2 linked regions of the Alligator mississippiensis genome follow. The protein of the gene in region 2 purifies or fractionates together with the protein of the main gene of each other region. This does not show direct contact. Links are inferred from orthologs where the notes say so. Each region holds a gene or a part of one and is shown on either strand. Other genes may lie near its edges.

Region 1 (16,111 bases), on a different chromosome or scaffold from region 2:
AGAAATGTTAACTGGGAGATGTGTTAGCGTGGGCTCTTTAAAACCCTGGCACTAGAACTTGTGCAGTAAACCAGCAGACAGACTATCTACAACTTTGGACAATCTAAAACCCGGAAAGGATTTCTGAAAACAGTTCTCATGAGGTGACATGAGAAAGTGCTTTAGTTCTTTATAAATGGAAAAAAAGGATTTCCTTTGGCATAAGAGTTAGGTCAACACGCTTACTACAATTGTAACGGTGAGCAACCAGCGGTGTTGTAGGCAAGTACCTTGTGTGGCCACTATGGGTTATTTTATTACAGTAACGTAAGGGAGAGGTTAGCATAGAACGAATGTTTAAGGAATGATAAGTTAAGCTGGACAAGGAACTCAAGATGACAAAAACTAAAAATGAACTGCGTACTCCACTGCTTTATTTCATAAAGCAACCTGGCAAACCACAGATAAGCGCAACCTGGCACAAAAAACAGGCAGAAGCCCAGGTCACCAATTTACAAGAGAATGGGACCAAATGACAAATCCCACCCAGACATGCAGTCGGGCTAGAAAGAACCCAAGAGATCTGGTAACTTTGCCTGTACTTCTTTATGAGAGATTGGACCAGGGAACTGAAGTGGGACCAAAAGGGTTACATGCAGCAGACAGGAAATGGATGGCCTTCTCTTTAATGCAGGGGTACAGCCAGACTTCAGGGTCCAATATTCAATGAATTATCTTCACAGAAGGTAATTCTCGACCGCCCCACTGGATCTGTACTTCCCCTTTTCGTCCCATGCATCTACATACTTTAAACATTTTAAGATGCATGTCTGATGACCCCACTGCACACAGCAGCTGTCCTGCTTATACGCCACCATAACACACCAGCGTGGACTTCTGAATTGTTACCAGCCCTAGCCCTTGTGGAGAAAACCCGAGTGCTTGAGACAGCTCAACATAGGAAAAAAAAAAGCATCCACAATTGGACTGATGAATTTAGGGCTGTCTGAAACAGCAGCCACCTCAAAACAAAACCACTAGACGTCCTAGATACCCAGGTCTTTAGACACCCTAAAGTCAGTTCAGAACTAGAAGCTTCAAACAAAGGCAAAGTGCACCATCCCAAGTGCTGCTACTCTGGGCAAAGGCTGCCCTCGCTGTTAGTAGTGAGATGCAGCTTGGAGAAGCAACAAGTCCCTTTTTGCATCACTCCATTTCAATCCAAGCAGATGTGGAAAGTGCACGCTGGAACCCAGAGTCTCCACAGGCTCCATTCACACAGAAGAGATGCTGTACTTAGCTATGCAAATTAAGTGCAGCTCTCAGACGCTTGAAGGCTGCCGACGCAGCTAGGAGTCCCCATTTTGAGCCATCTAAAGGAAGAAAAAGTTTGGCATTTAGCAAGTCTAAATCGGGGTTATTTGACCCCAGCAGTCTTTCCTGTCCAGAGTAGGCAGGCTGGACCCGATGATCTCAATGTCCCTTCAAGCCCTAAACTTCTGTGAAACTTTTTCCTTGAGTTCCTGTCCACAGAGACAGACACACTTACCAGAACCCAGGGAAACAGTCACACTCAGGTATGCCTCCTTGGCATTTCAGCCTTCCCCTACTATTTTCCAATAAATTCCCAAGCATTTCTTCTCTTTCACAAAAGTTTAAAACCTGAGCTAGCTAGGGAACAAACCTGGAGCAGCAGGATTATATCAGACAGGTCAGTTCTGAACCTGCCCAGTGTTCCCAAAACTGACCAGAACTCCAAAAACAAACTTACCTATTTGGGGACAGTCTGACAGAGACGCCCCACTTGCTTTCCACCTCCCCAGACAAGGAATTGAGGCTTTGCAGCTGAACAGATCAGGGAATACCGTACAACACTTACTCCTCGGAAAGCCACAGAAGTGAACAAAACAATAAGGGACTCAAGTTTCACTCCTTTTCCCCCCTGGAAAATGGAAGCAGCAGCCAAAGAGTTTTTGGAAACAAAAGACAGCACAGAGAAGAGGAGCCAATTACAGACCGGAGTCAATGCAGATGATGTTAGAGCACTAGTAATGACATTATTCTTAATTCAACAGGCTCCACAACAAGGGATCAAAAGAGAAGACAGAACACACTGCACACAGAGGGAGCAAACGGACACTCAAAGGCAACATCCACGACCCACCAAGGGACCAATGACAATTTGTACTGGCTCCCAGCTTGCAGATTAGCCTGCTGGCTCATGTCTAGTCTAGCAAGACTGTCACTCCCTCTCAAGCACTAGTCAGCCTGAAGATTCAGAAACCAGGAAGAGTGACTCAACCTCACCGATCAGTTTAGAAGAGCCCAACGTGCAACTTGTAAGTTTTGTAAAAGTAGCCAAAAACTGCCACTGCTCTACCATGCGAGATGAATGTTAGATTCAGAGAGATGTTTCAGGAAGCAGGCAACAAAAATAAATAATTAAAACCTGGCCTTCTACTTCTCCAGTGAAAGGCAGGGGGGGGGGGGGGGGGCAGCTAATCAGGGAAAAATGATTTGTCTTATCAAAAAGTACAGAGGAAGAAAATCTAGCCCAACAGAAATGCAGACTCAGGTTCCTGGTTATATTTCCTCTCTTTTGACCACCATAAAAACTGCCCCAAATAAAAGGAATCTTCCCTTTCCCGTCTTCAGTTCAGAAAGTCTGCTTTGCTAGGAACCGCTGCTATCAAGAAGTAGAACTCTGCCTACCAGAAACAGGAATTTCTTTGGCAAAAACAAAAGATCCCGGCTGTGGGATAAACCATTAAAGAAAAGCTCTTGACTGCAAACAGTAGAGGAAATGAAGTCTCCCCCTGCTGTCACAATTCACAGCAGTTCCACAGAACCAAATGTAGGAGAGTAAAGTTCCTAGTCGGAAAAGTACTGGGGTGGAGTCCAGAAGTGATATGTTGTGACACCTGATCTGTTTATCTGGCTATCAGGATAAAGAAAGTTACCCATAATAACAGACGGGAAATGGAACTTTCTTACTATTTTAGGGGAACGCAGCTGGCTACAATACAGGCAAAAAATTAACTTGCTTTGCTCCATTTCTTCAACTGCCTATTTTATTACTTTCGGTGCACAGCCTGTCTATTAGCAAACTTTATTTTTGTTTCTGTTTTGAAGTCCAGATCCTAACCAGCTGGAACATTCTGTAACACCAGCTTGCCCGCTGTCGGTACCTGTGCAAAATGATTACTGGATTTCTAAACTTCCATAATTAAGTGTGGGGCAAGGTGAGAACGTTCAATTGGCCCAATGGCCTGGTTGGGATAGACTCAGACAAGCATTTGGATACCACAGTGCCCTTCCTCAGGTCTTTGCTGTCGAGTGCACAACTATCGAGTACACAACGTGGTGCGCCAAAGCCCTGCCCTCTCCAGGAGCAGGGAGAGACGGGTAAAACTACCGCATGCCGCCCGCTCTCTTTACATTGTGCCACTCCCTTCAGGCGATGAGACTGGAAACCCCCTCCCACCGGGGATACTTTCCTTCCACACCTTTTCGGAAGGGAAGGAGGGTAGGGGAAAGAGACAACTGATCCCAAACAAGAAAGATGCCCCATAAGCACGAACCCTCCCACCCAGGAATACTTTCCTTCGCCACCTTTTGTGGAATAGGGGGGGGAAGAAGCCATTGACCCCAACTGGGTGTGGCAGGGGGGAGGGGGGGAGCCCCTAAAACTCTGACTCTCCTCCCTAGGGATACTTCCTGTCCCTGCCCTCTGTGGAGGGGGGCTGGGGGGAAGAGACACAAATATCCCCAACTTGGGGGAACCCGTAAAATGCCAACCCTCCCACTCAGGAATACTTCCTTTCACGCTTTCTATGGAAGAGAAAAAAAAAGAGGAAATTATCCCCAACTAAGGAAAAGCCCCTAAAATTCCACCCCCTCCCCCCCCAACCCCACTTTTCTTCCCTACCTTTTGTAGAGGGTGGAAAAGGGGGAATTAACTCACACTAGGGTGGGGAGAGCCCCTAACACATCACCCCTCCTGCCCAGACTGGCAATTAACCCCAACTGGAGGAGTCCCTAAAACACCACCCCTCCCCCCCTACAGATACTTTCCTTCCCTGCCCTTTGCAAAGGAAGAAAAAGGGGGAATTAACCCTAAGTAGGGAGGAACCCCTAAAATGCCACCCCCCCACCCAGGAGGCAAATATCCACAACTGGGTGGATGGGGGAAAGCCACTAAATCATCCCCTCCCCCCTAGAGACACTTTCCTTCCCTTCCTTCTGGGGGGGGGGGGGGAGAAGAGGCAAATCATCACAACTTGGGGGAAGCCTAAAACACCGCCCCCCCCTCCCACCCAGGAAGGCAATTAACCCCAACTGAGGAGATGTGAGAAGCTCTTAAAACTCCAACTCCAACCGCCCCCTCCCCCCCCCCCCCCCCGGTGATACTTTCCTTCCCCGCCTTCTGTGGAGGGCCAAAAAGGGGGGCAAACTGGGGAGGACCCCCAAAACACCACCTCTCCCACCCAGGGAGGCAAAAAAAAACCCCAACTGGGAGGAATGGGGGAAGCCCCTAAAACTCTAACCCCCCCAAGGATACTTTCCTTCCCTGCCTTTTGCAGAGAGGGAAAACAAGGGGGAATTAACCCCAGTTTAAGGGAAGCCCTTAAAACACCCCCCTCCCATCCAGGGAGGCAAATAACTCCAGTTGGAGGATGGGAGAAGCCCCTAAAACTCCAGCCCTCTATACTTCCTGGGGGGGGAGAGGCAAATAACCCCAACTGGGGGGGGAAGCCTCTAAAACACCCCCCTCGATATTTTCCTTCACTGTCTCCTGTGGGGGGGAGGGGAGAAGTAAATAACCTCAACTGGGGGGAACACTTAAAACTCCAACCCCCCCCCGATACTTTCCTTCCCTGCCTTTTGTAGAAAGGGAAAAAAGGGGAATTAACCCCAACTGAGAGGGGGCCCCATAAACACCCCCCCTCCCACCCAGGGAGGCAAATGACCCCAATTGAGGGGGATGGGAGAAGCCCCCAAGACACCCCCTCCCCCCTAGGGATACTTTCCTTCCCTGCCACCTGTGGAGAGAGAAAAGGGGGGGAATGCCAAATGGGGGGTCCCCTAAACACCACCTCCCCACCCAAGGAGGCAAATACCCCAGTTGGAGTTTCAGGAGTTTCTTGTATCCCCTCTGCCCCCCCACCCCTCATGTGTAAGGAGGGGAAAAAGAGAGGCAAATAACCCCAACTGGGGAGGGGGGAGCCCCTAAAACACCCCTTCCCCCAGGGATACTTTCCTTCCCTGCTTCCCATGTCAGGGAAGGGGAAGAGGGAAATCACCCCACCCCCTCCCCCCCAGGGAGGCAAATACCCCCAACTGAGGGGGGGGGGGGAACAGGAGAAGCCCCTAAAACCCCAACCCCCCTGTACTTTCCTTCCCTGCCTCCTGTGTAATGGGGGGGAAGGGGCAAATCACCCCAACTTGGGGGGGAGCCCCTAAAACGCCCCTCCCCCCAGCAATACTTTTGTTCCCTACCTCCTAAGGAAAGGGGAAGAGGAAAAACACCCCAACTGGGGGGGGAGCCCCTAAAACAACCCCCCCCCACAAGGCAAATCCCCCCAATTGTGGGGGGATGGGAGAAGCCCCTAAAACACCCCCTCCCCCCAGGGATACTTTCCTTCCCTGCTGCCTGTGGAGGGGGGGGGGGAGAGGGAATCGCCCTAAACCCCCCCTTATCCATGGAGGCATATACCCTCAATGGGGGGGCGGGGGGGAGGAGAAGCCCCTAAAACTCCAAGCCCCCCCCAACCCGGATACTTTCCTTCGCTGCCTCCTGTGTATGAGGAAGGAAAGATGCAAATAATCCCAACTGGGGGGGGGGGGGCTAACCTCCCCTCCCCTCCCCTCCCCCCCCCCCAGGGAAGCTTCCCCCCCAGCTATTTATGGGGGTGCCCCCCCAGTCACGTGCCCGGCCCCCCCCCCGCGGCCCGGCGCGGCCCTCACCGATCGCTGCAGCTCGCCCAGCCAGCAGCTGGCCCGCTCCTTGCCGCTGGGGTCCGGGTCGTGGTAGAGCGCCTGCACGGCCTGGTACACGACCTGCAGGCTCGGCTTCCCCCCGCCGCCCTCCATGGCGCCGGCTCCGGCTCCCGCCCCCGGCTCCAGCTTCGGCTCCGGCCCCCTCAGCAGCCGCCACCGGCGCGGGCCGCCGCCGCCACCGCCGCCATGTCCGCGCGCCGCCGCGGCCGTTACCGGGAGGGGGTGGCGGGTGGGGGAGGGGAGGGGGGAAAGGGCGGTGTCCCCGTCAGCGCGGCCCGCCGGGAAACACGCGAGCCCCTCGCCGCGTTCCGGCCGCGCAACGGTCCCCAGCCGCGCCAGCCCGGGGGCCACGCCAGCCGGAAGGGGCCGCGACGCACTTCCGGCGGTGCCACGGGGAAAGCGGGCCCCCGCGTCCACCCGGAAGTGGCAGCAAGCCCCTCCCGCCCCGTCGCCATGATGTGTGTGCGCGGCTCCCCCCACCCCCCCCCCCGGCCACGAGTCGGGCCGCGTCCTCCCCCCCCTCCCGGGTCTCCAATAAAATGTCCCCCGTCCCCTCCCGTCCTGTCCCCTCCGCCGGGCCTCGGCCCTGCCCCGGGCGCGGGGTCTTTGTCCGGGGGCAGCAGGGCCTCCCCAGCCCCGCCCTGGGGCTGTCGGGGGGGGCCGGGGTTAGTCCGCGCTTCGGCTCTTCCGCGTGAGGACGGGACCTGGTGCCCGGAAGCGCGAGCGGAGCCGCGCACGTGGTCCCGGGGCGCCGCGGGGGGCGCCGCGCGCTCCCACCTTCCCGGGGGGGGGGGTCTACACGCACCAAAGACACCCCCCCCGTATGTGTGTATAATTGTGTGACAGCATCTATAATTGTGTGTGTGTGTGTGTGTGTAGTATATGGATTACCACCTTCATGGGGGGGGGTGTCTACACGCACCAAATGACCCACCCCCCCCCCGTGTGTGTGTGTGTGTGTGTGTGTAGTAAGTAGACCGACACCTTCATGGGGGGGATGTATAAAATGTGTGTACATGCACCAAAAACCACCCCCCAAGTGTGTGTGTGTGTGTGTGTATAATTGTGTGTGTATAGTATATAGGCTGTCACCTTCATGGGGGGGGTGTCTACACGCACCAAACACCCCCTCCCCCTGTGTGTGTGTGTGTGTAATTGTGTGTCTGCATATATAATTGTGTGTGTGTGTGTATAGTATATAGGCTGCCACCTTCATGGGGGGGGGTGTCTACACGCACCAAAGACACCCCCCCCCCGTATGTGTGTATAATTGTGTGACAGCATATATAATTGTGTGTGTGTGTGTAGTATATGGACTACCACCTTCATGGGGGGGGGGTGTCTACACGCACCAAATGACCCACCCCCCCGTGTGTGTGTGTGTGTGTGTGTGTGTGTGTGTGTGCATACATAATTGTGTGTGTGTGTGTGTGTGTGTGTGTGTGTGTATAGTAAGTAGACCGGCACCTTCATGGGGGGATGTATAAAATGTGTGTACATGCACCAAAAACCACCCCCCAAGTGTGTGTGTGTGTGTATAGTATATAGGCTGTCACCTTCATGGGGGAGGGTGTCTACACGCATCAAAGACCCCCCCCCCCCGTGTGTGTGTGGATAATGTGTGTGTGCATATATACTTGTGTGTGTTGTATATAGGCTGCCATCTTCATGGGGGGGTGTCTACACGCACCAAACACCCCCGCCCCCTGTGTGTGTGTGTGTGTAATTGTGTGTCTGCATATATAATTGTGTGTGTGTATAGTATATAGGCTGCCACCTTCATGGGGGGGGTGTCTACAAGCACCAAAGACCCCCCCCGTGTGTGTGTGTATAATGTGTGTGTGTGCATATATACTTGTGTGTGTAGTATATAGACTGCCACTTTCATGGGGGGGGGTGTCTACACGCACCAAACACCCCCGCCCCCTGTGTGTGTGTGTGTGTGTGTGACGTGCATACATAATTGTGTGTGTATATAGTAGACTGGCACATTTGTGTGGGTGGGTATAATATGTGTGTACATGCATCAAAGACCCCCCCCCCAAGTGTGTTTGTATGTAAGTTGTGTGTATAATGTGTGTGTGTATGTGCATATATAATTGTGTGTGTATAGTATATAGATTGGCACCTTCATGGGGGGGTGTCTACATACACCAACCCTCCCCCCACAGTGTGTGTGTGTGTAATTTGTGTGTGTTTATACTATATAGATTGGCACCTTCATGGCGGGGGGGGGAGGTGTCTACACGCACCAGACAAACGCCACTCCCCAAAGTGTGTGTGTATATAGATTGGCCTTTTGGGGGGGTCCCTACATGCACCAAAGACAAATGCCACCCACCAAAGTATGTGTGTATACAATGTGTGTGTGTATAGTGTGTGGGTGTGTATACAGTGTGGGTGTGTATGTATATGTGTGTGTGTGTACACACAAACGTATATATTACACACATATACACACACACATATATTATCTGCACATCAAAGAGCAACTCGCAAAGACACTGTCATGGACCTAGAGCAGGGGCGGGCAATTATTTTGGGCGGCGGGCCGCTTACTGAGTTTCGGGAAGCCACCAAGGGCCGCACAACAGGCAGCCAGGAGCAGATAAATATTCATTTTCTACACTTTTTAGGGGCCCCGTGGGCAAGACAGAATGGCCTGGTGGGTCACATGCGGCCCGTGGGCTGCATTTTGCCCTCCCCTGACCTACAGGAACAGATGTCCACCTTCAGCTTCCTCTGTGCAAAATTAAGTTTATTTTCTACCTATAGGGATTTTTTACCTTCTTTAATTTGCCCTGAGCCTGAAGAAGGGCATGTGCACCCGAAAGTGTGCAGAAAAAGATTTATTTATTTTTTTTGCGATTTCTTAGTTGGTCTAATGAAAGGTATATCTAAACCAAGAACTAGTTTTGCATTTCTTTACACACACACGCACCTTGAGGGGTATAAACACTAACCATAAATATTGATCAATCTATCGCTCTGTCTACATGTTCACACATTTTGATTAGTCTATAAGGTGCAAATCTATTTTGTCTCCCAATGGCTGTTGGGAGGCGTGTCTAAACACTAACCATATATACCTATGTGTGTATGTCTGTGTATTTATATAATGTGCAAATCTATCTTGCCTTCCAATATCTTTTTTGGACCAACTGTATCATTCAGGAGAGATGTTGTACAAGCTTCAGGGCATCAGGTGACCTTCCTCAGGTGGAAAGGCAAAAAAAAATGTAATAGATGATAGGGCTCTTGCTTGTGTGTGTGTGTACACACTCTCTCTCCCACCCTCTCTCTTTGTATATATACACACACCAAAAAAGATATCACAAAAAGCTTGCCTTTCAACTATTTCCTGGACCATCATGGGTGCAACACTCCAGCCCTACTACTTCATTTTTGTCTACCTTGTTCTCCAAGTGCTGACCAAAGTATAAACTTGATGGGATGAAATGCTGTTGAAACTTTGTGGGGGCAGGGTGCTGGATTATGCTAACAGCTGGGCAAAAGTGGCTCATCCATTTCCTATGCCATGAACGAGCGCAGAAGTGATTTTTTTGTGTGTGGTTTACAACTTCCCCACCAAAAAGGCCATCACTTGCATAATTTTCCTGCTACTGTATATGACTAAAAATTGAAATTCAGATAAGTGATCCTCTATTAAGAGAGAAATAGAATTATAATCAATTTTTCCCTCTCTCTGTAAAGCACCTTTCATCTCAAAAGAGTATTAAGTATGAAAGTGATATATACACAGCAAAATCACCTCACCTATTGCTATGAAGGAACCCCCTGATACCAAAAATGGGGTTGATTTAACAATGCGTGTTGATACTGCACAACAAAAGAATTCCAGGTCCAACTGAAATTGCACTGGAAGCTGAGAGAAGTAAAACAATTATGCAGGCTGGTATTTTGCAAGAAGCCAACCACTCTGTTATGATGAGAAAGTTCAGTCAGATCTCCAACATAAGTGTTCAGGGGCTGGATTTCATATCTCTGAAAGGCAGCGCCTTCATCAGCACCGCACCCCCTTCCATGGGTGGATCTACAATTTTGAAAAGCAGGGTGCAGATGATCGCATAATCACATATAAAAACAACACATATTTTTCTCTGGTTAAAAAGAAACTAGAAGCTTTGTTATATGCTAGGGACCTAGGCCTGGATTATTTGGTTTAAACAAAACCAAATATAACCTCATTGGAATGAGTTAAAAATGATCTGTGAAATAGGAGCTTTGCTACCACGAGCAGCGAACGGGCAGCGGGATTTCAGAAGAAAGCCTTGGCTAGCTGGATCGGTACAACATCAAGACCATTAAAAAGAGGAGAGGGTCATTAACATCCCTGGAATGAAGAGTTTAGAAGGAATCAAGTAGATTATAATGAGTTATTCCATTAGAAATGCTGCTGCCACTGGTAGGCACTTGGTTTTAAACTTTGGGTGGACCATCGCCACCCCTATTTATCCGTCCCCCTTATGCCAAGCTCCTGTTTACTTCGGTACTCTTAACGACTGCTTCTTGTAGGAGTATTTTTAGATGGCAAGTGTTCAACTTCTGACGAGATTTATTCTCACTTTATTTGTGAGAGGCAATTAGAGAGTGAGGTGGTGTGACTGCTGACCAAATCTTGGGCCTTACACAGAAGTAATGTAGAGCTGAAGGAAATCTTTTCTTTGCATTCTTCAGGGGCTGGTTTTCAGAGACCCACTTTCCTTTCGCCTACTTTAGTCCCGTACCAGCTGGCTTCTGTGATCTGCACTGGTGACACTTTGGTTTGCTCCTCTTTCATTGTTGTCAGTCATTTTGCCTGATAATAAGCATAATTGTAGCACCCCTTGTTTTCACAAGGAGGTGACTGCAAACACGTATTAAATATGAGTGGGAAGGGAACGAGAAGATGACTTCTGAGCAGCATCCACATCAGGAAAGCTGAGTTTTATTCTTATATACCACTGGTGCTCAACCATTTAGTCCTGCAGGCTGGATGAGTGGTGCAGACCCAGTCTGCAAGCCGGACCCCAGGGCCCCATGCACCTGAATCCAGTCTCACATTGCCCTGATCCTGTCTCATGCTGCTCAGATCAGTTCTCATTCACCCGGGTCCTGCTTGACAACGCCAGCTCCAGCCTTGCACCCCCTGTGTCACCCCTATCAGTCCCCATCCACCTGGATCCCCTCTTATGCCATGCAGATTGGGCCCCGCACACCTGGACCTGGTCTCTCAATGCCTGGATCCGGCCCCACGCACTCAGATCCAGCTTTGTACCATCCGGATCCAGCCTCACACTGACCTAGCTTTGAGTGCCTGATCTAGGGCACAGAGCCACGCTACCTGCCCACGGGGCTCTTCATGGGTCCAGAAATTCAGCAGCAGTAGGAGCAGCACTTAACATTGCCACCACTCCCCCACTGCCAAATTTTCGGGTCCAGGTGGGCTGGATGACGCAGCCCCATGGACCAGGGGGTCAAGCACCCCTATTATGTACAAATAAGCAAATGACCCCAACTCAGCTCAGAAAGACTGTGGTCATAGTGGGTCAGTAAGCATCGCTCATTCTTTGGTTCTTTGGTTTTCTGAGACTACGGTGGGTGGGGCGCCTCCCTGCATGACACTGCTTTTCCTACATAATTGTGTGCTAGTTCCTGCTTGCCTGGTAGTTTTGCAACCTTGAGGCAGTGCATCACAAGGGCATGTTCAGTGAAGGGCACGTGACAAAAGAGCAGAGCTCCAGAGAAACGAAACAAAGCAGTCAGCCACAGACGGGTAAAACCCTACAATTTCCCCTGTAGAGACACAGAGGGGAAGAATCAGAGCTTCTGCAGGACATATTTCCATAAGTTAATATGTTGTTGTGTGTCCACCAAATGCCTCATGCTGTACAGAACTCTGGGCAGAGTCAGAGGTCATACCTTAAACCCGTTTCCTTTCTTAAGAAATTACTTTTGAAACTTCTTGGGTGAACTTAGTGCTGGAGAAGTATTGGCCCTTCTGCTGAAGCAGGAAAGATGCTGAGCTGATAGCACAGAAGGTTTAAATCCAGTTGCTTCCTTTAGTCCACCACCCGTGTATCTCACACCTGACCTGGAAGCCCTACTGAGCTGAGATACCGGGTCAGTCTCTCTCACCCATTCAGTGTTGCTCTCTCCGTTGTGAGACTGCATTTAAAAGGGTCCATGTCACAGAAACGAGCTGCTAGGAAACGGTCTGAGGTTTACCAGCTGACCAAATGGTGATAACTTTTCATCCACTAAAGTCCTGGCACTGGATTTAACTAGTAACCTAGAGAGCAGAGCATGGGTGGATCTAGGATTCAGAAACAGGGGTTCAGATGGTGTCACACATTATCACAGATTTTTCTCAAGTGAAAGAGAGACTAGAAGCTTTACTAATATAGTAGGAGCCTAGCACTATATTATTAAGCTTAAGATCAAAGCACAAACAAATATAACTTTATTGGAATGTGCACTCATTTGCCAGGTCAGGTGTGCCCAGTTTTTTGGCAGGCATGCCACGTTTAGCCCTGCACTCCCTGCAAGTGCCCGTTCGATCCCCTTCCCTTATCTGACCTGCTGCTCAGCTTTTTGTTCCCTGTGCCTGTTCTGCTTTTTGCTGCTGCTCTGCTTTCTGTTTCCCTCCCTATGCTCCATGTCTGATCTGATGCCTTGCTTTCTGCTCTCCCACACAGAGAGGCTGCCCGTGCCACTTCTGTCACCTGTGCCACAGGTGTGCTAAACAATAGAGTTTAAAAAAATAGTCAAAATATGTTGTTTCATTGGTCCTGTAGTCACTATAGTTAAATGCACATCTTATTCAGACTCATAAAACAAAATCTAGCCTCCTTGAGCATCCTGACAGTGCATCCAATACTTCACTGTCAGTCGTTTCTACACCTGAATTACTATTACCACAAACGAGTTAAGGTTTTTATCTAGCGCTGGAACCGACCGGCAGGGGCATGAAATAGAAAAGAGATATTAGCAGGAACGGCTAAGAGACAGCATCATTGCAAAGGAAAGGATAGTTTGAATAGTGGAACATCAAGACCATTCAAAAGGAGAGAAGGTCATTAACACCTGTGGAGTAAAGAGAGATGCCAAGGGATCAGGTGGATTATAATGAGCCATGAATTAAACTGACTCCCTCTGTGCTGCCTGAACAGAAATGCTGCTGCCCCTCTCAGGCAGTTGGTTGTAAAATTTGGGTGGAGCAGGAATCAAAGGGGGGGTGCACCACTTTACTCTGCCTCCACATCCATCCCTGGATGAGAGGAAAGATGGTGAGAGTTAATTAAAATTAAAAGCTTTAAAATCAGGTAGCACTTTGGGAGTCTGTGAAGAACACATAGGGTGGGTGAGATGTGGGGTCCAAGACATGTTTCTAGTGACAAAGGCATGTGAAGAAAGGAGAAAAACTCATACTGGGGCTAACTAGGGGATGTGCCAGGCTTGCAAAGAAGAAAGTTGTTGGAGTCATGAAGCAGCAGAGAGCTTTCTGCGATAGGAGCCATAGGAAAAGAAGAGCTGGGAGGGATCTCTCAAGGTCATCTACTCCAGCAACAACATACTGCGCAAGCTCACAAATTCCAGGTGGGGAGCACATCCATCCACCCTACACTGCCTTAGCACTTTGCTTCTCCGTGGCTGAGTATGCCTCCACCATGTAGGGACGCTCAAGTCACAGTAAACATATTGATACCAACCTAAATGATACATGTAGAATTATAACCGGCTGCCTAAAACCCATCCCTGTTCCTTGCCTATATGTACTATCCGGCATAGCGCCCGCTTACATTAGGAGGAAAGTAGCAGACGACATTGGCTGGCAGATACACGAGTCAGATGACTGCCACCAGCTAAATCAGTGGTCTCCAACCTTTTTAAGTAGGAGATCACTTCTGGAATTTAAAAGCAACCCAAGATCTACCGCGTGCCGCCCCACGCCAGCAGGTAAGTCTATGGGGAGGGAAGGTGGGGAGCAGATTGAGGCGGACGGAGAAAAAATTTATTTCCCCCAGCACGTACGTCTGTGGGGGAAGGGGGCAGATTGAGACCCGAGCCCTAGCCCTACTCCCTGCCTCCCCTCTGGGGCCTTAATCTGTGCACCCCCCCCCCCCAATGGTGGTGAGGGAGGGAGTGGGGCTGGGGCAGGGGCCCTGCACAGCTGGGACGGGGCGCGGGAAGGAGCCGTGAGCGGCTCGTCTGGGGGCACAAAGGGAGTGCTCTGCCTGGGGGTGGGGATTGGGCCATGCTGTGCTCAGGGTGGGTGGCAGTGGCGCTGGGAGTGGGGTTGGGGGGATTACAGCAAATTTTTGGGAGGCTGTAGCCCCACTCCCAGCACCACCACTGCAGCCCAACACCGCCGCCAAGAAGAGCCTGGTGCCTCCCCAGCCCCGGCCTGCAGCCCACCCAGCCCCACGTGCAGATCCAGGGGCACGTGCCTCCCATGCCCTCCCAGGGTGTGCGGCCCCCCCCCTCCCCGTGCCCCCCCAGATGAGCCACTTGCAGCTCTGTCCTGTGCCCCACCCCAGCTGTGCAGGGCCCGCCCCTGCTCCAGCCCCACTTGCTCCCTTGCCGCTGCTGCAGCTGTCTGTGCTGCCCTGCATTTGGGGGGTAGGGGGCATGTGCCCCCCCATCTGTGTGCGGCGGAGGCGGCTGCCATTGTGGGTTGGGCTTTGTGCTGTGAGCCCTGCTGCAGCTGGTCCAGGAGCACCATGTGCGTCCTGCCGCTGGGCTGAGCCGCACTCGTACATGGCCAGCTGCAGCAGGACTCGAGGTGCAGTGGGCAGCAGCAGGCACCTCTGCTGCCTCGCCCAGTGCAGAGATGGGGGGGGGGGGGCATGTGCCCCCAGAGCCTCCATCGCAGTGTGCCCAGTGATGGTTACCCCCACCCCCGTGCTCCTGGATGAGCCCCCTGGCTCCAATCCTCCAAACACCTGGCCAGCCTGGGGCCCCACTCATTTTCCCCTGTTCTTGTGTGCCGCACTTGGTCTGTCTTTCATCGTGGGTGCCTCGACCTTGCCCCTGCCCCTTCCCTCCCCCACAGATTGACCTGCTGCACTGTGGGGGGGGGGGTGCCCAGCACCCCCAGCCCAGGATTGTCCAAAAGAGGCTCCCCAGTTGGCCAGTCAATCGTGATCAACTGGTTGGGGACCACTGCACTACATGGACATCAACCAGTGCACCGTTGTCTCTCATCAAGAAATAGTTTTTGTCCTCTACCACACCATTAACATCACCAGAATCAGCCAGAACTACCCTCTGGCAAAAAGAATGGGAGAAACTAGGCGATAAAGCTGTTGAATGGAGCTGGCGAGGAATTACCCCCAGTAAGGAGCTAGCATCTGGCTCCAACTACAAACGGCATACATGGCGGAGCCTGAACAGATTAAGAGTGGGTTTCAGAAGATGCAACTTTCTCACGAAATCATGGGGCATCTATACAACCGACCAACGTGTTTGTCAGCAGAAGCAAACCATGGATCATCTCCTGTAGCACCACGATGCACCCCACAAGATCTGGCAACACCAATGCCAGAAGCAGTGGCCTGTGCAGAATATTAGGAACCGACCACATAGAAAGGTTGGACTGGAGACACGATGAAGAAGTATCTAGTCCAGCCCCCTGCTTAAAGCAGAATCAGCCTTAACTAAACCATCCCAGCCAAGTGTCTGTCCAACTTGCTCTTGAAAACTGCCAGGGAAGGAGATTTCACAATTTCTCCAGGCAGCCTGTTCCAATGCTTGACCATTTTTATAGTCAGAAGTTTCCTCCTCATCTCCAACCTAAATTTCCCCTGCTGAAGCTTGAGGCCATTGCTTCTAGTCCTGCCCCCCACAGCCAAAGAGAACAGCCCATGTCCATCCTCTCCGTGATGCAAAACCTTGAATGAGATACAGTCCAGTTAAGCAGAAGAAATCAGCTCGTGGCTATTTTCCTGTGTTGCTTAAAAATGAAGATTAGGCAATGACAACTGGTGGTGGTGGTGGTGGAAGACTGCTGAATGTTTTCGAGCACATGGTAGACTGGTGCATGGGCCTGTTGGGACCTTCTCCTCCCCTTAGTCCCTCCCGAACCTGCAGATGTTACCATGGGCTGTAATCTCCTAGGTATTATTCAGGA
Region 2 (15,639 bases):
GCCAAACCCTTCACACTACCACCACACACGCACACGCAGTTAATAGAGCATTTCCATCATTTAACATTGGCTAAGACAAAAGAAGAAGAAGAAGACCACAGAATAAAGTAATGGGCCATTAAGAGTTCCAAACCATGCAGGTATCCAGTATTCCTGCAGGGATCAGGACTCAAGTCATTTTGTTTAAACAATATTTAAAAAGCAACAAACATGAGAACCGTGAATGATATAATTGGTATTTATTGGAGTAATGAGAAGCAGTGAAGTTGAGACATTTGGTCTGGTGCCTCACAACACTTCTGAGTCATTCCAGTGTCCTGGGATAACTCTCTCCCCCCATCACATCATATATTTGGCAAACACCTCAAGCACCTATGAGGTGGGAGACTGCTTCATTAGGCTCGGACTGAAAACACTGAAGTTCTCAGAGAAGCTTCAGTCCGAGGAAGTCTGTAATAACAGTCAAGCAGGCCATGCTTGTGCTCACTCAAGGAGAAGCCTTCTCCCTAATACTGCGGGGCAAGAATTGACAACCATCGTGCCAACAGCATTGAAGAATGGGTGCGACAGTTGATTCACCCTAAAGGACGCAAGATTCTGGCACAATTCAATAGACACAATCCACAAAGGAGTATCTTGTGCCATCACTGTGTATCAATAATAGTTCAGGCTGAAATGTAAATAGGCAGCAGAAGCGGAACCCTCATCACATGAAAGAGAAACTAAAACCACAGAGAGAAACCAGAACCAGATGCAGTCACCATTTTTACCTGCATCCAAGGCACCCTTGTAATGGTGCTGAAGAGAACTCCAGTTAATTCCTCTCCCCCTCTCTTTACCTTGGGAGCATAGTCTAGTTTTCCCAGGTATTAGGACTACACAGGGTAGGACTTTCACAAATTAACAGCTGCTAAACACTTTGAGTCTAAGACATTGAATTATTACACTCTATGTTCCACTTAAATCAACAACAAAGCAGAAGAGGGATTAGAAGTACTCACCCAATGTATTCAAAGCTGAAAGGAGGTAAGAGAAATTAAAAACCTAGAACCCTCTCAAACTCATTCTGGATTCTACTCACCGAGGATGCACTGCTACAAGACCTGGTCCTGCGTTTCCGACAGTGATGCTGGTGCTTCTTTGCTCGCTGATGTTCTCTGCCCCTCGATCTCCGCCAGTGTCGTGAGTGAGTAGCATAATAATCCTCTCCAAAAGAAGGACTTCGCTCTTCAAACCGGTAGTTGTCACTGTCCCGTCTCTCTCGGTACCTCCTGTGGTAAGGCATCCTGTCCTGGCTGCATTACAAATAAGATCCCATTTATAAATCTGGGAAGAAAGGGCACACTGTTCAAAAACTACAGCACAGCTGCAAGCAAATGCAACCTGACGATGCATGCTCTTATTCCCTCTGCCTGGCAGCAGAGAACATACCAAAGCAGTTCTTGCTCAGAGCTTTGAGCCTAAGTAACTCAAATTGAGAAGCTACAGAGAAGGGCAAAGGTGAACAGGGGTACAACAGGGCTTCTGTATAAGGAGAAGCTCAACAGAGACTAGGATTTTCCAGCCAAGAAAAGAAACTACTGAGAGGAGGTATGAGAAAAGCCTTTAAAATCATAAGCTCAGGATGTATATAGAGATTTACTATTTACAGTCTCGCACAATCCTAGAATTATGGGACAAGCAATGAAATTAATAGATAGTTGGTTTCAAACAAAAGGCAGATTCCCTCCCCCTGCACCCTCCAGTGTATAATTAGCTTGTGGAACACCCTGCCACACGATGTTGTGGAGGTGGATAGTTTAACCAGGTTTACAAGAGGATTGGACAAATTCATGCAGGATAAGTCCCTAAGCATGTATATTAAACACAACAGTTAAGGGTGTAACCTCAAAATTAGGACTCCCTATGCTTCTGCAAGCTAGAAGCTGCAGGGCAGGAGGGACAAAAAGTGGATCAGTCTGGATATTCCCTGCTTAAGTACTCTTTCCTTTGGCATCTACTCCGCTGCTGTGAGAGACATTATACTAATTGGATAGATTGCTTGGTCTGACCCAGCATGGCAAGTTTTCACATTCTAAAACAAAAAGGACTTCTAAGGAACTATGTGGCAATATCATATTTAGATAATAGGGGGCATAGCATTTGGAGCTGGTTAGTACATGTCTGTACTTACCTAGGTACTCATATAAAACTCCTCACCATGCTATATGGACATTTTTCTCCCCAAGCCTCCCTTGTGGCTTTTCTGTTTCAAGCAGAACTACGGATTTTTTTTGTGGTTTTTTTTTTTTTTTAATGCAAGGAGAACTGAAGCACAATGACTCACCCAGGGAAATGCAGGATACTTGGGATACAATGAGACCCAATCATGATCAGTGCCTGGATACCACACCATCTCTTACTAAGGACTCAGGACACTGCAGCTTAGAGTACTGTACAAGTGCACACACTATCTCTGAGAGCCAAAAAGAAGTTCAGTCTGTATAGTCTAGTTTCTGGCCTCTGGTGACAATGGTCTATAACACCAGTTATAAAGTGGATAAGGTGGATGTTAGGCCATCCTGTTACCTCACTGTGTAACTCAGTGCCAAAGGATTTTAGACAGTCCTTTCACCTTTGCAAGATAAATGCTTGCATAAGGGAAGTCTTTATAAATCAAAGCTTTGATTTCAGTAAATGGTGCAGAGTAACAGGAGTGTTTTACAAGGTCCCTCTTCTGGGTTCATTCCAAAGAAGATGTGGGAGCTGTTATAGCTCCAAGCTAGAGCCACGGCTCTTTATTTCCAACTGTAACAACTCATGCTTTTAGCTCTGAAGACGCCCAGTATTTTGCCAAAGAGGGTGACAGGCATATTTGGCTTTTCAAATAAATTCACTGATCATGTGCTATCACCACTTTCAAAAATGGTATACATTACTGGACAAAAAGGCAGTATTTTGGTAGGAAAGCTCACAGTTCATAGAACTGGACCATGTACTATATTTTACACAAGGTGAGCATATTTTACATCTTAAGAGCAAACGTTACTAGGTCAAGGCTAGTACTTTTGGCATGTAACTGACTGCAATTTGATTACATTAGATGATGCGATTGTCTGCATTATTTAATCATTATTCTGGGTGCCACTCATGTAGGCTGGGAGGGGATCTATTTCATTTTCCTCTGTACTGAGGATGTCAGCAAGGCAGCCAACTATTGCCAAACAGGTTAGCGATTCTCATAATGTAGGCACTTCATTCAATGCTGGACCAAGACCAATTTATTTTATGAAGGCTGCCAAACAGATGGCAATAACTTTAGGTCACTACTGAACTTAGCCAAAACTGAAATACAGCTCCAACCCCAACCCCAGTCCTGTAGGCAGGCCAAAAAACCATTATCTACAACTTTCCCCATTTGCTAACTCTTTAGAGATGCAGAGAGGATTCAGGGGTAACTAAGCAGCACAAAAGTGTATAGTTACAAACACTTAAAGAACCCACACCAAGCCTATATGGAGATAGTCATGATGTAAAACTAAACAGCAAAGGTTTTCATCAGTTAAGGTGGTTTCTTCATCCAGAAGATCACTATTCAATGTAGTCCATATGAAAGAATAGCGAAGCTGGAGTAACTAATCTTTAACTGCACCTGAACAACCTTGTCCATTCAGCAAGTGTATTCTGCTGTGCATTAATCATGTCTTAGCTTTCCATGGACTTCAATCCAAGGTTAAGAATGAAAGCACAGCCAAGAAAGTGGCAAAACAAGAGTTAAAGAATGTAATATTAGGCTAGGTATTCTTCTGCTGTACCTGTAAAGCTGACAGGCCTGCACCTGTGCTAGGCATCTCATCTCAAACGCTCAGATGAGAATCAAAGGTTTATCCAAAAACACAACAGCCATCTAAGGCAGACACCTGCCCACTCCACAGCAACTGCTTAGAAGACAGTCCAAGCCTTTGATAAAGCCTGCTCTCACCTTCGAGATCGTGATCTCCTTGAAAGATCCCTGCGAGGTGGGTATCTCAATCTGCCTTCGTATTCTCTGCTGCGAGACCTCTTCCTCTTCCATTTGTGATTCATGTAGGTCTCTTGCTCCGGGGATCGGTATCTCTTACAGTGATGCATCTGGGGCGCAATAAGGAAGGCACTTGAGTAAAAGGTATCAACTGGAACAAACTGTTGACAGTTTGCAAGTCTCATGGAGCTCCCTACTTATTAACTAAAGAAGGTGAAAACAAAAAGCCATGAGGAGATGAGAGAAAGAGCAACAAAAGTCATCACCAACATTAGTAATTACAGTTATAAATAAAGAAGTCTCCGCAATGTGTGCAACAGCAGGGAACAGTTGCACATCACCCTTTTTTCCAATCTAATACCTATTAACACCTACTACTACTCCCACTGAAAAACAATCAGAATATTTTTCTGGATTTTTCCACTCTCCACTGAGATTTCACTTTTTCCCTCATGTATTCAGCTCTCACACCATTTGCAAATATTTTATAAGCTAGAGATATACAAAAGTATTTTAAGCAAATAGGACATGTGATTGTAAGAGTACAGGGGTGGGGATAAGAATCTGGAACTAATTTAACTCCATTTATAATGGGACTAAATTAAATCAAGTGTTCCTTTACTACAATTAAACTCGGTCTTGATCAGCAGACCAGATGGCCTTTGTGCAGACCTTCTTGCTTTTTCATCATTCGTTTGAACTCATCCTGTGTTAATAATGCCTGGAAAGCCAGCACTATCAAAAGACATGAAATTAAAAAACATGGTGGCTAGAATAATGGCCCAATTAATGGCCTGTGCCCCCATGTTCCTCTGTCCTGCTCCAATATCACTAACTAGAAATGCCCCCAAGAGGATTCCCGTGCAAGAAGAAATCCTCTGGTGGCGCAGAGCAGTCACGGTAGCTATTGCATCTGCCTTACTTGGGAGAAGTAAATCTCACAGAAAGGGATGTGGCCTGGATACACCTACACAAGGGATTCCTGGCAGCTTAAGCAGCCTTGTGCAGTTCATGCACGAGCAGATCTTCTGCTCTCACTCCACAACCCCGTCAGCACCACGTATCAGATGGCAACTGAGCATAGAAGTCATTTCAGGAAACCTGGATCCAATTTTGTTTGAATGTAATATCACAATTATCAGTTACGTTAATACCCAAGAAAAGAATGCAAACCTCTCAAACCAGCAGCTCAAGATTTAAGATACTAAACCTGTACTACAAAACTACCACGCATTAAAGAAAAAATGCCCACCAAAACATTGTTTAAAGAAAAATCCCATTGAAAAGTCAGTTTAGATTCAAACCCAGAAGTGTCCAAACTCAAATAGCATAGCACTGTTATAATGTAAATAGGCATTAAAATGAAACTACTGTCTGGGGCTTGTAGTTCTGCACCGTAGAAAATGAAAGTCAGTCAGATGCAGAAAGGTCAAACTTTGTTTAAAAGAAAAACACACGTCAGGATCCCTTTATGGAACGGCTTCTTAACCCGTGTCTCTCCGCTGCCTTGTATGGATTGTGTGGCTCTCTCCTGCTCCCTTATTTCTAATTCATTTGCCCTTTTCTGTCCACCTCCCCTTCAAAACATCCTCCCCTCTTTTCCTTCAGGGTGGATGGCCTTTACCAGCTCCTCATCACATATTTGCCCCTCAACCTTCGTTGGCCCCCATATCCAGTGAATGTCCCTCCATCGCTTTCACTAGAAAGCATCAGTTTTGTTCCTGCAGGCAGCAACAGAGGTGGGCAGTGGCCAAGCTAAGCCACTACCGCCTCACAAGCAAGCGCCAGCCAAGAGAGGGAAAAACTAAGCAAGTAATCCCCATGCCCACAGCCTTCCCTTCCTTTCAACTACATGACTCCCCCATCTTTTTGCCTGCTTCCTCGTTTGCCCTACGCACATCACAAACACAACCCAAATCACCACGTGCCAAAGAGGCTTCTAGTTTTTGCTTTGACAGACGCCAGCCAGCAGATCCATTTTCAGCGCAAAAAACCTTTTACGAGGCCTTAATCCTTAACACAACCCGCCACCGCGCACGGACACTTGATCCTGGCCTGGAAGCGCCAAAGGACTTTGACCCATTTGTATCCTTGACGTGGCCGAAAGCTGCTGAAGAGGACTTGGCTGCCAATCCAAAATTAAAGCCCTCCTGATCCCTCCCCACCACAATGACTTTTTACAGCGTTGGCAGCATCTCACCGCAACGAATGCCTCGGCCCTCCACAGCCAGGACCCGGCTCTGCTGGTGCAGGAGGGCTCGGGATGCGCAATCCTCATCGGTACCAACCCCTGCTGTCCCGCAGGATTGGTGCGACGCACGCACGCCCCTGGGAGCATACGCAAAGCCAGCCCGAGTTTGCTTTTGGCAGGCTGCCCAGGCCAGTCGTTTGTCTGGCAAGGGAAAGGAGAGCTCCCGTCGGCCCTTGAAAACAAAGGGGATTCCCCCCCTCCCGTTAAAGCTTGAGGGAAAAAGCTGCCCCCCCCCGCGGCTGCGGCCACGACCCCCCGGCCCTTCCCTCGCGTCCGCAGCTCGGCGGTCCGGCGGGCGCCGCGCCAAGGGACAAAACGGGTTCCGCTCTCGACCTTTTTAGGCCCCGAGCCCCCTGGGCAAGCGCCGCCTCGCTTCTCGGCCCCGGCGCCGGGCGGGCACATCCCATCCGCGCCGTGCCGCTGCCTCCGACGCAGGGGTTGGCGCCCTCGTTGCCCCGGGGCGCGGGAGGCGGCTCCAGCCAAGGCGCATGCGCGTGAGGGGAGATCCGCGGAGGGGGCCGCGGGCGGGGCGCTGCAGGGATCCTCACTTCTGCCGCCCCCCCACCACCCCCGAGGGCCGGATGCGGAGCCGCCCCCTCCCCCCACACTCACCGCCGCGCGCCCCCTCAGCGCTGTGCTCTCGGGCCCAGCCAGGCCCCAGCCGCTGCTTCCGCTTCCGGCTGTCGCCCCGCTCCGACGACGACGCGCAGTGTGCGCGCGCAACCGCCTCCTGTCGCTAGAGCGGCGCTTCCGGGGGCGGCCCCTTCCGCGCGGCGCTCTAGCCGCCTTCTTGCTGGGCTTGGAGGATTGCGGAGCTGGGCCCAGGGCCGGGGGGGGGGCGGTGGGGAGCAGGGGCAGCCCCTTAAAGGGGCAGAGCGCTGCCCTGGGTCACCCTTGGGGCTCCCCAGCACCGCACCTCCCCTCCCCTCCCAGCCCAGGGGGTCCCCAGACCCCACTGCCCCTCCCCCCAGTTTTGGATCCCCCCTCGCCTGCGGGCAGAGTCTCACTGGTCCACGCCCGCAGGCTCCCCGGTGTCCCCTTTCCTTGTGCTTCACCTGCCACCTCGCCCTGCTTGTTACCTGTCCCCCAAGCGCCCTTGACGCAAACCCAGGAGCCGTCCCCGTAAGGGCGGAGGGCAACCACTGTTCTGGGCGCAAGGCCCACGTGTCCCGCACGCGTCAACCAGGCCTCGTGACTGACCTGTGACCTCACTCCCGTCCCTCTTTTCTGCTGATTTGCCCCAAGAAATCAGTTCCTGTATCTAGCGGTCTCCCTTCTTCCTTCCCACCACCTCCCGGGGCCTAGCAAGCCGACCCCGCCTCTCGAAGCGTAGGAAGTTCATTTGGGAGGGACCTCAGGAGGTCACATCTAGTCCAACCCCGTGCTCCAAGCAGGACCAGCCCCAACTACATCATCCCAGGCAAAGCGTTGTCAATCCAGGCCTTCAAAACCTCCAAGGATGGAGATGTCACCACCTCCCTAGGTAACCCGGCCCAGTGCTTCACCACCCTCCTAGTGAGAGTTTTTCCCAATATCCAACCTAAACCTCCCTTGCTGCATCTTGAGCCCGTTGCTCCTTGTTCTGGCACCTGCCACCACGGAGAACAGAGGTCAGTTCTTGGTTCAATGGTGAGGGACGGCTTTGTCTCCTCTGCCCGCTGCCTGGTGTTGAAAATCATGCACGGTGGGGATCTCACGAAAGCAAGGGCAGAGAAGCTGACGGCACGGACCAAGACGTGTATGGTTTGTGGGTCGGTCAGTGATAGTCCTGTAGTGCTGCGACCTGCAAAGGGCAAGTGGGTGGGAAGACACGTGTGGGGCTTTGTGAAGAGGAAAACAGCAGTTAGTGTAGATTTGAGGGTATTCTCCTTAATGCTTGCTGCATGTTGGGGTGCCAACCCGCCAGGATTGCCCTGGAGTCTCCAGGAATTAGATATAAATCTCCAGGAGACGGCTGAGAGTCACCGGAAGATAAATGATAGGGCATTCATTGAAATAAATATATTAAATGTTGAATCTGATTTATACAGTAGTCCAGTGGGTTTTGAAAATGTAATAATCATGTGCGTTTGCCTTCCTGGCCTGAAGCCCATGCACCTTAATCTGTAACTGATATACACAAGCATGTGGGCACGCTCGTGTGTGTCACAGGCACGTTGGCATTTGGGAAGCCTCCCGGAATAGATTCAGAGTTGGCAACCCTACCTGGATGGTACTATCCAGTTGTGTTTTGTAAGGGTAATACACCAGTGCTCTTTATACACATTAGTGCGTAACGGTGGTTCTCAACCTTGTTAGACTCAAGGTCCCCCTCAGAAAGTGCACGCTCTTAGCTTTCACCCATTTTTGACTATGGAAAAATAATAGAGCAACTCTTCTGTGACAAGGGTGTAGGTTGCAGCCGTGTTGGTCTAAGAACATAGGCAGACAAGGTTCTTTGGGTAAATCCGATATCTTTTATTTGAGTTGTTTTAATAAAAGATATTGGATTTACCCAAAGAACTTTGTCTGTCTTCTATGAACTCAAAACGACCGTAGCAGCTCAGAATGGTTTTGAAGCTTTGGTTTCCTGTTTGATGCCTCTGCGTTTATCTTGTGAATCATGTTTGCCTGCCTAGCAGTGCTACATTGAGTGGCACTCCTGAAAGACTCTCCAGGCACCCCAAGGTGCTGCAGCACCCCGGCTGAGAATAATTGGTGCATACAGTAAATTCTGCTTTGTTGCGTATTGATTATTTGCCTACTTTCCAGTAGGTCAAAAAACATTTACTATCTCTTCAGTTAAACATCACCCAATTATTTACATAATGGGTTTTTTTTAGCATATTTTGGTTTATTGCATAAGCCAGGACTAGAAAAAGAAAGCCAAAGAGAAATAATGCAATGGTTGAGTAGAGCAGTACGAAAAAAGATTTCCTCTTGCAACAGATGACTTACCATAATGTTTCAAGATATGAAATATTTTTGTAATCTAGTTGTTTTACAGTGTATTTTACTTTTTTTGAGATACATTACACATGATTCCTTTCATTAACCACCCTATTGCCTATATAGGACTGTTCATTCAACGGTATGTCTGAGAGAAGGAGAATTGATCAGTTTTGTGTGAGGTTTCCTTATTCATTACACACGTATACCATCACATGTAGGCCTAAGATGTAAATGAACAGCAATTCCCATAGTATTTCATTTATTCAGCACCCAGTCTTTAAAACTGGACAGAAAAATGTATGGAATGACTTGCAGTTCAGTGCCACATTAGGATCAGGAATTATGTTATCTGTTTCTGTTGCTTTTTAATGTATTTTTTGCAATTTTTTTCTGTTCCATTTATTAGTGTAGTCCACTTATTTGTACAGTTTGGATGGATGAATGAGTACACAAGTAACAGAAACATACTGCATTTATTCTTGACATTTCACCAACTGTACCCATTTCAAACAAATTCAGAAGTCTTGGTTCCCTAAATCTAAAATCACCCACATCTTAGTCCTTAAAAAAGAAGCAGAGCTGGAGTATGGCATGTAGATCTGGAAAAGAGTCAACATCTGAATACATTCACACCCAGCTCTGCCACTAACTGATAGTGTGGGTTCAGGCAAGTCACTTAGCTTCAGCATTCCCATTTGTCATGTGGGTGCCATTACACTAAGGCAAAATCATTGGTGTAATTCTGTTGAGTTTGCTAAATTACAACAGGGATATTTTTGGCCCCATATTTCTATCTAATCTCATAGGCTTGTTCCATGAATCAGTGTTTGCTCCACAGATACTGTAGCTGGTCGGTAAAAGCTCAAGGTTCTTGTTCTTTTTCTACTGAGACTAAATAAAAAGGGAAAGGTCCCAACAGCCCACTGAGCCCAGTCATGACTGGCATTCAATTGACCATGCCAGAATTTGGCTAAAATGCCTTTATTAAATCCAAAGGCCAATAGCAGTTTCATAGATTCATAGATTCATAGATTCATAGATGTTAGGGCCGGAAGGGACCTCAATAGATCATCGAGTCTGACCCCCTGCATAGGCAGGAAAGAGTGCTGGGTCTAGATGACCCCAGCTAGATGCTCATCTAACCTCCTCTTGAAGACCCCCAGGGTAGGGGAGAGCACCACCTCCCTTGGGAGCCCGTTCCAGACCTTGGCCACTCGAACTGTGAAGAAGTTTTTCCTAATGTCCAATCTAAATCTGCTCTCTGCTAGCTTGTGACCATTATTTCTTGTAACCCCCAGGGGCGCCTTGGTGAATAAATACTCACCAATTCCCTTCTGTGCCCCCGTGATGAACTTAAAGGCAACCACAAGGTCGCCTCTCAACCTTCTCTTGCGGAGGCTGAAAAGGTCCAGTTTCTCTAGTCTCTCCTCGTAGGGCTTGGTCTGCAGGCCCTTAACCATATGAGTTGCCCTTCTCTGGACCCTCTCCAGGTTATCCGCATCCTTCTTGAAGTGTGGCACCCAGAATTGCATGCAGTACTCCAACTGCGGTCTGACCAGCGCCCGATAGAGGGGAAGTATCACCTCCTTGGACCTATTCGTTATGCATCTGCTGATGCACGATAAAGTGCCATTGGCTTTTCTGATGGCTTCGTCACACTGCCGGCTCATGTTCATCTTGGAGTCCACTAGGACTCCAAGATCCCTTTCCACCTCTGTGCCACCCAGCAGGTCATTCCCTAGGCTGTAGGTGTGCTGGACATTTTTCCTCTCTAGGTGCAGCATTTAGCATTTCTCCTTGTTGAACTGCATCCTGTTGTTTTCTGCCCACTTGTCCAACCTATCCAGGTCTGCCTGCAGCTGTTCCCTGCCCTCCAGCGTGTCCACTTCTCCCCATAGCTTTGTGTCATCTGCAAACTTGGACAGAGTACATTTCACTCCCACGTCCAAGTCACTGATGAAGACATTAAAGAGTATTGGTCCAAGGACCGAGCCCTGCAGGACCCCACTGCCCACACCCTTCCAGGTCGAGACCGACCCATCCACCACGACTCTCTGGGTGCGGCCCTCCAGCCAATTCGCCACCCACCGGACTGTGTAGTCATCCACGTCACAGCCTCTTAACTTGTTCACCAGTATGGGGTGAGAACAGTTGTACAGTTTCTTTAAATGAATGGGCTAAAATACTGTAACAGAATGCGAACATGTTAGATAACAGCATTGCAATACTTATAATGACCACATCAGTGCAGTAAGATTATCATATGCATTGATCATACACTTGTAATAAGTCTAAGCTCAGGGATCCATGAAGGCTCAGACTGGCTGGCTTCGGCACAGCTTCACTTTGCATTAGCAAAGAAACCCTCCCTCTCACTCCATTTTACGCCCCTAGATTTCTCACTACATCATTTTCTTTTCAGTTCAAGAAACTAATCTGATATAGCCGGAAACTTAACATGTATTTATCTTGCCTTTTCCAAAACAATGAAACTTCCTTTGGTAGCGTTCAAGTGATGTTGTGGCCATGCTTTTCCAGGAAATATGAGGAAGGCTACCCGAAAGCTCATCTAAGTCTATCTTAACCATGAAGTTGATCCATTCTTGATGAGTTTTTGCTGTAGACACCCAGGGCTAAAGCCTGGCATGCCATTCTGGCACCATGTTACCCACCTTTCCTTCGGGAGGCAAGATTTTTTGGGTAGATGTGATATTTTTTATTAGACCAACTGAATAGTTGGGGTAAAGTTCTTTTTTTAGATATCTTTTATTAGACTAACTGTTAATAAACTTAGACCAATTTTATTATCTTTTATTATTTTAGATAACTTTTATTAGACGAACTGAGTAGTTCGAAAAAATAACTTTTTTCCAGCTACTTAGTTCATCTAATAAAAGATATTACATCTACCCAAAGAAGTTTCCTGCCTATGTCCTTTGACCAACACAGCCACAACCAAAAACCCTGCCACCTTTTCTTCTGCATTTGCATATCCATGGCTCTTCACACTCCCTTCTAACAGTATTAGCATTTTCATTGTTTTGCTGTGATTTCCTCTCTGTCTTTCTCAAATCATGCCTTCTTGGGATTGTCAGGCTCATACCTGATAAAACATTTCATCAGCTATTACAGGGGTGGCCAAAATGCAGCATGTGTGCCACAAGAAGCACAGGCAGCCTCTGTGTGTGGCATGTGGTGGAGGGGAAAAGCAGTACAGTGACAGAGCAGAAAGCGGAGCATGATGCAGAGGAAGGAGACTGGGGTGGTACTCAAGTTTGGGGCTAATTTGTAACATGCCTGCCAAAAACATTAGCCCCTGGTGACCTGTTGCGTTGCATTTAATCATTCCTACAGTCACCAAAGAGGCAAGTTCAGCAATAGCAAACCATGACCATCTGTGCTAGGTTACTTCTTCCAGGGAGTTGTTTTGCTAAAGATAGTTTGCTTCTTTCCCCCATGAAAGGGACTCTTTGCTCTTGGCTTGGCTGTTAATGTAAGAGTGTGTGCGCCAATTCAGGGTCTAAGTTTTGGCCTCCGTCGTAGACGAGTGTAGGTGATCTAACTTGCCTGCAGCACTGGGTTCCTATAGTATGTAATCGTTGGGATTTTGCTCTCCCTGGCCACTTTGAACTGCTCCCCCCACACACACACTTTCTCCCCTGCCACACACACTTTCTCCCCTGGTGTCTGCTGTGCCATGGCTTATGGGCCACAAACTCCCCCTGTTTTGAAATTCCCCTGCACCGTGGCTTCTTGCAGCCATGTGGCAGGGGGACTCTCTATCAGACAGTGTTTGGTGCTGTAGATACGGGGAACAGGACTCACTGCCTCTTATCTGCAGCACAGGCTTGCATTCCTCTAACTGCACTCACCAGATAATTGGTGTTGCCAAGTCTTGTGATCTAGCCACCAGTCTTGCAACATTAGGTATCTGCTTAAAGCCCCCAGCTCCTGGAGTCATGAGATTAAATTAGCTTGCTCTTTTTTTTTAAGGAAGTTTTTAGCATCTTGGGTTGTAGAGAAAACCCTGAAAACATGACCCTTGAGTTCTCAAAAACTGTAAGGCAGAAGAAAGAAGCTTCTCTCACTTTTCTTTATAGATAGATAGATAGATAGATAGATAGATAGATAGATAGATAGATAGATAGATAGATAGAGTGTGTGTGTGTGTGTGTGTGTGTGTGTGTGTGTAAATCTCACAATATTTGTGATTTTTTTTTAACACTTAGGTTTAGCGGCTTTTATCCATGGGTCTGGCAACTCCTACCAAAAATGACCAATTCAGAGAAGGGGATGGATGGATGCTGGACATTCAGGAGAAGGGGATGGATTCTTCCCAATGAAGTCAGTCCTCCCCCTTGAGCGCAACAGTCCTCCCCCTTGAGCGCAAATGTGTCAATGAAAACACTCACAAAGGTATAAGTGGATGCCAACTATTAATAGCCAACAAGTCATGTATGGTATGTGAGAGAGATTTGATGGAAACACTGGAAGGTTTCTGAAGGTGAGGAACGAAGGCGTGCTAATGTCTGTAGCGTGACATACCAAACAAAGCAGCAGGGGAAAGACACTGAAACATGCAGCTGCAAACAACCCCAGCCTGTGGCAAGAAAACTGCTGTGTGATACACAAGATTTTCCACTTGTTGCATTTCAAGACAAGAAGGAATAAAGCATTGAGGGGCAAACTGAAGTGGCTTAAATATTATTTTTTTTGATAATTAATATTCAAATGGGAAGTTGCTGTCTCTCCCAGCCCTGTCACTGTCCTGTGATGGGATTTTAGGCAAGTCTGTTTATTCCTCTATATTTTTTTTCCACTTCCACCTTTTGTGTCTTGTCTGATTAGATTGTGGGCTGTTTGTGGCTGCCAGTTCTGTCTGTTCCTGTATCCCTCCCAGCACCTTAAAAGCATGAAGTTGAAGGAATATGGATTTGTTTGTTTGAAGAACATAATTACTGTGAGAAGCAGAAAAATGGGTTCTGGGGTTGTGCTGAGAGGGCTGAGTTCAGCAGTGGGGTGGGCTTGGCTGGCAGGTCTGACTAGATGCATACCCTATGCCAATACTATGCCTTTCTACCATTGACAGAGACTCTGCAAAACACAGATCCACTGGGCTTGGTGGATGCCAGCCTCTCCTGTGTAGAAACTCAGTGGGTCACAACAACCCCACTAGTACCCAGTTAGTGGAAGGGGCAGGCTGGGTGTTTCCCTGCTTGCTGCAGTTTTACTTTTGTTACTGGAGAAATGTAAGGGGCAGATGAGAGGACCCAGGTGTGTGCAGCTTCTTTGAATGGGACAAGGCAAGCACAAGCTTGCCTTGATCCCAGTGAGTAACTCCCCAAAGGCTGGTTCCCCATCCTGCCCCTTCCACCCCTCTTCCACTGGCAGCCACCTGCATTTCACAATCTCGGTCAGTCTATCAGGAGAGGGGAAATGGGCACTTTGAGGCTTGTTGCCTGCTTGGTTGCTGTGGCAGCAGCAGTCCTGTGTTCCCTGGCTTGGGCAGACGTAGTGCATGCAGCAGCTCAGCATAAGGACTAGACTCCCAGGAGAGCTGATCTCTAGGGATTTCTGAGGAGCTGTGGGGGGACACTCACTGACAGGTAGGTGGATTTAAGCTCTGCTCCTCTCACTAGCCCCAGGGTTGCTTCTATCCAGAACCTGGAGCAGGTGGATACAGCTTGGGGCTTTCCCACTTCACACTCACTAGGCAATTGTGGCACTTCCTATTGAATGCCCTGTGATGGCAAACACAAGCCTTTTGGAACAGAGATGGGGGAGAACAGCATGGATCAAATGGTGTTTTGGGGGGGAGGAAAGGTTCGTCCTTTGAATTCTCCCCATTTGAGGATCAGGTGTTGCTGAGAAATTCACATAGACTCCTTTACCGACTGCTTGGCATCTCCAAGTCCACGATAAGAGTCTCAAGCAACAATGGCAGTAATATTTCATGCCCACAGTTCTGTTCACAGCAGGCTCGACCAGCTAGGGACTTAGCTGCTGCAGCTCTTTATGCTCCTGCCATCCCCATAGCAGAGAAGAGCGGCCTTCAACCTTGTCACTGCGGTAGGACATAAGTGTTCCTAGTTTTGATCTCATTAAGGCAGTCACCACAGTAAGGAGAGATGGCAGCCAAAGAAGGTGGAAAGGAGAAATGTCTGTGTTTGTCTGCATAGGCATTTATACCAAGCTCATCACTGTGGTCTCTGAAAAGACAAAGGCAGGGGTTCCCAATGGGTCAAAACCATCAGTGAGGGCCACACATTCATGTAAGAGAGGGAGATTGCAAACTCCCTCCCATTCTTTCTCTCCAGTCATCTAACCAAGCAGATCTGCTCAGCTGGGCACAGCTGGGTCCTCCTTAGATGCTAGGAGCTGCCTCAGCTTATTGTGTTGCTTGCCACAGCACTGTGGGAAGTGGAATGGAGGGTTCTGGGGTAGCCTGGTAGCAAGT

Evidence for each region.
Region 1: the proteins of CLK3 (region 2) and TNPO3 purify together in Homo sapiens (affinity purification with mass spectrometry; 4 studies listed by BioGRID and IntAct, counting the BioPlex papers as one, with this or other methods). This does not show direct contact. The link is inferred for Alligator mississippiensis from reciprocal best matches to the Homo sapiens genes CLK3 and TNPO3.

What each region holds. Positions count from the first base shown.
Region 1 is NC_081827.1:4,060,890-4,077,000, forward strand, and holds the start of TNPO3 (transportin-3), read right to left. Parts: upstream 6,331-16,111; 5' UTR 6,073-6,330; coding exon 5,947-6,072; intron 1-5,946. UniProt on the Homo sapiens protein: Importin, which transports target proteins into the nucleus. Specifically mediates the nuclear import of splicing factor serine/arginine (SR) proteins, such as RBM4, SFRS1 and SFRS2, by recognizing phosphorylated SR domains.
Region 2 is NC_081834.1:41,765,922-41,781,560, forward strand, and holds the start of CLK3 (dual specificity protein kinase CLK3), read right to left. Parts: upstream 6,393-15,639; 5' UTR 6,339-6,392; coding exon 6,201-6,338; intron 4,111-6,200; coding exon 3,962-4,110; intron 1,296-3,961; coding exon 1,082-1,295; intron 1-1,081. UniProt on the Homo sapiens protein: Dual specificity kinase acting on both serine/threonine and tyrosine-containing substrates. Phosphorylates serine- and arginine-rich (SR) proteins of the spliceosomal complex.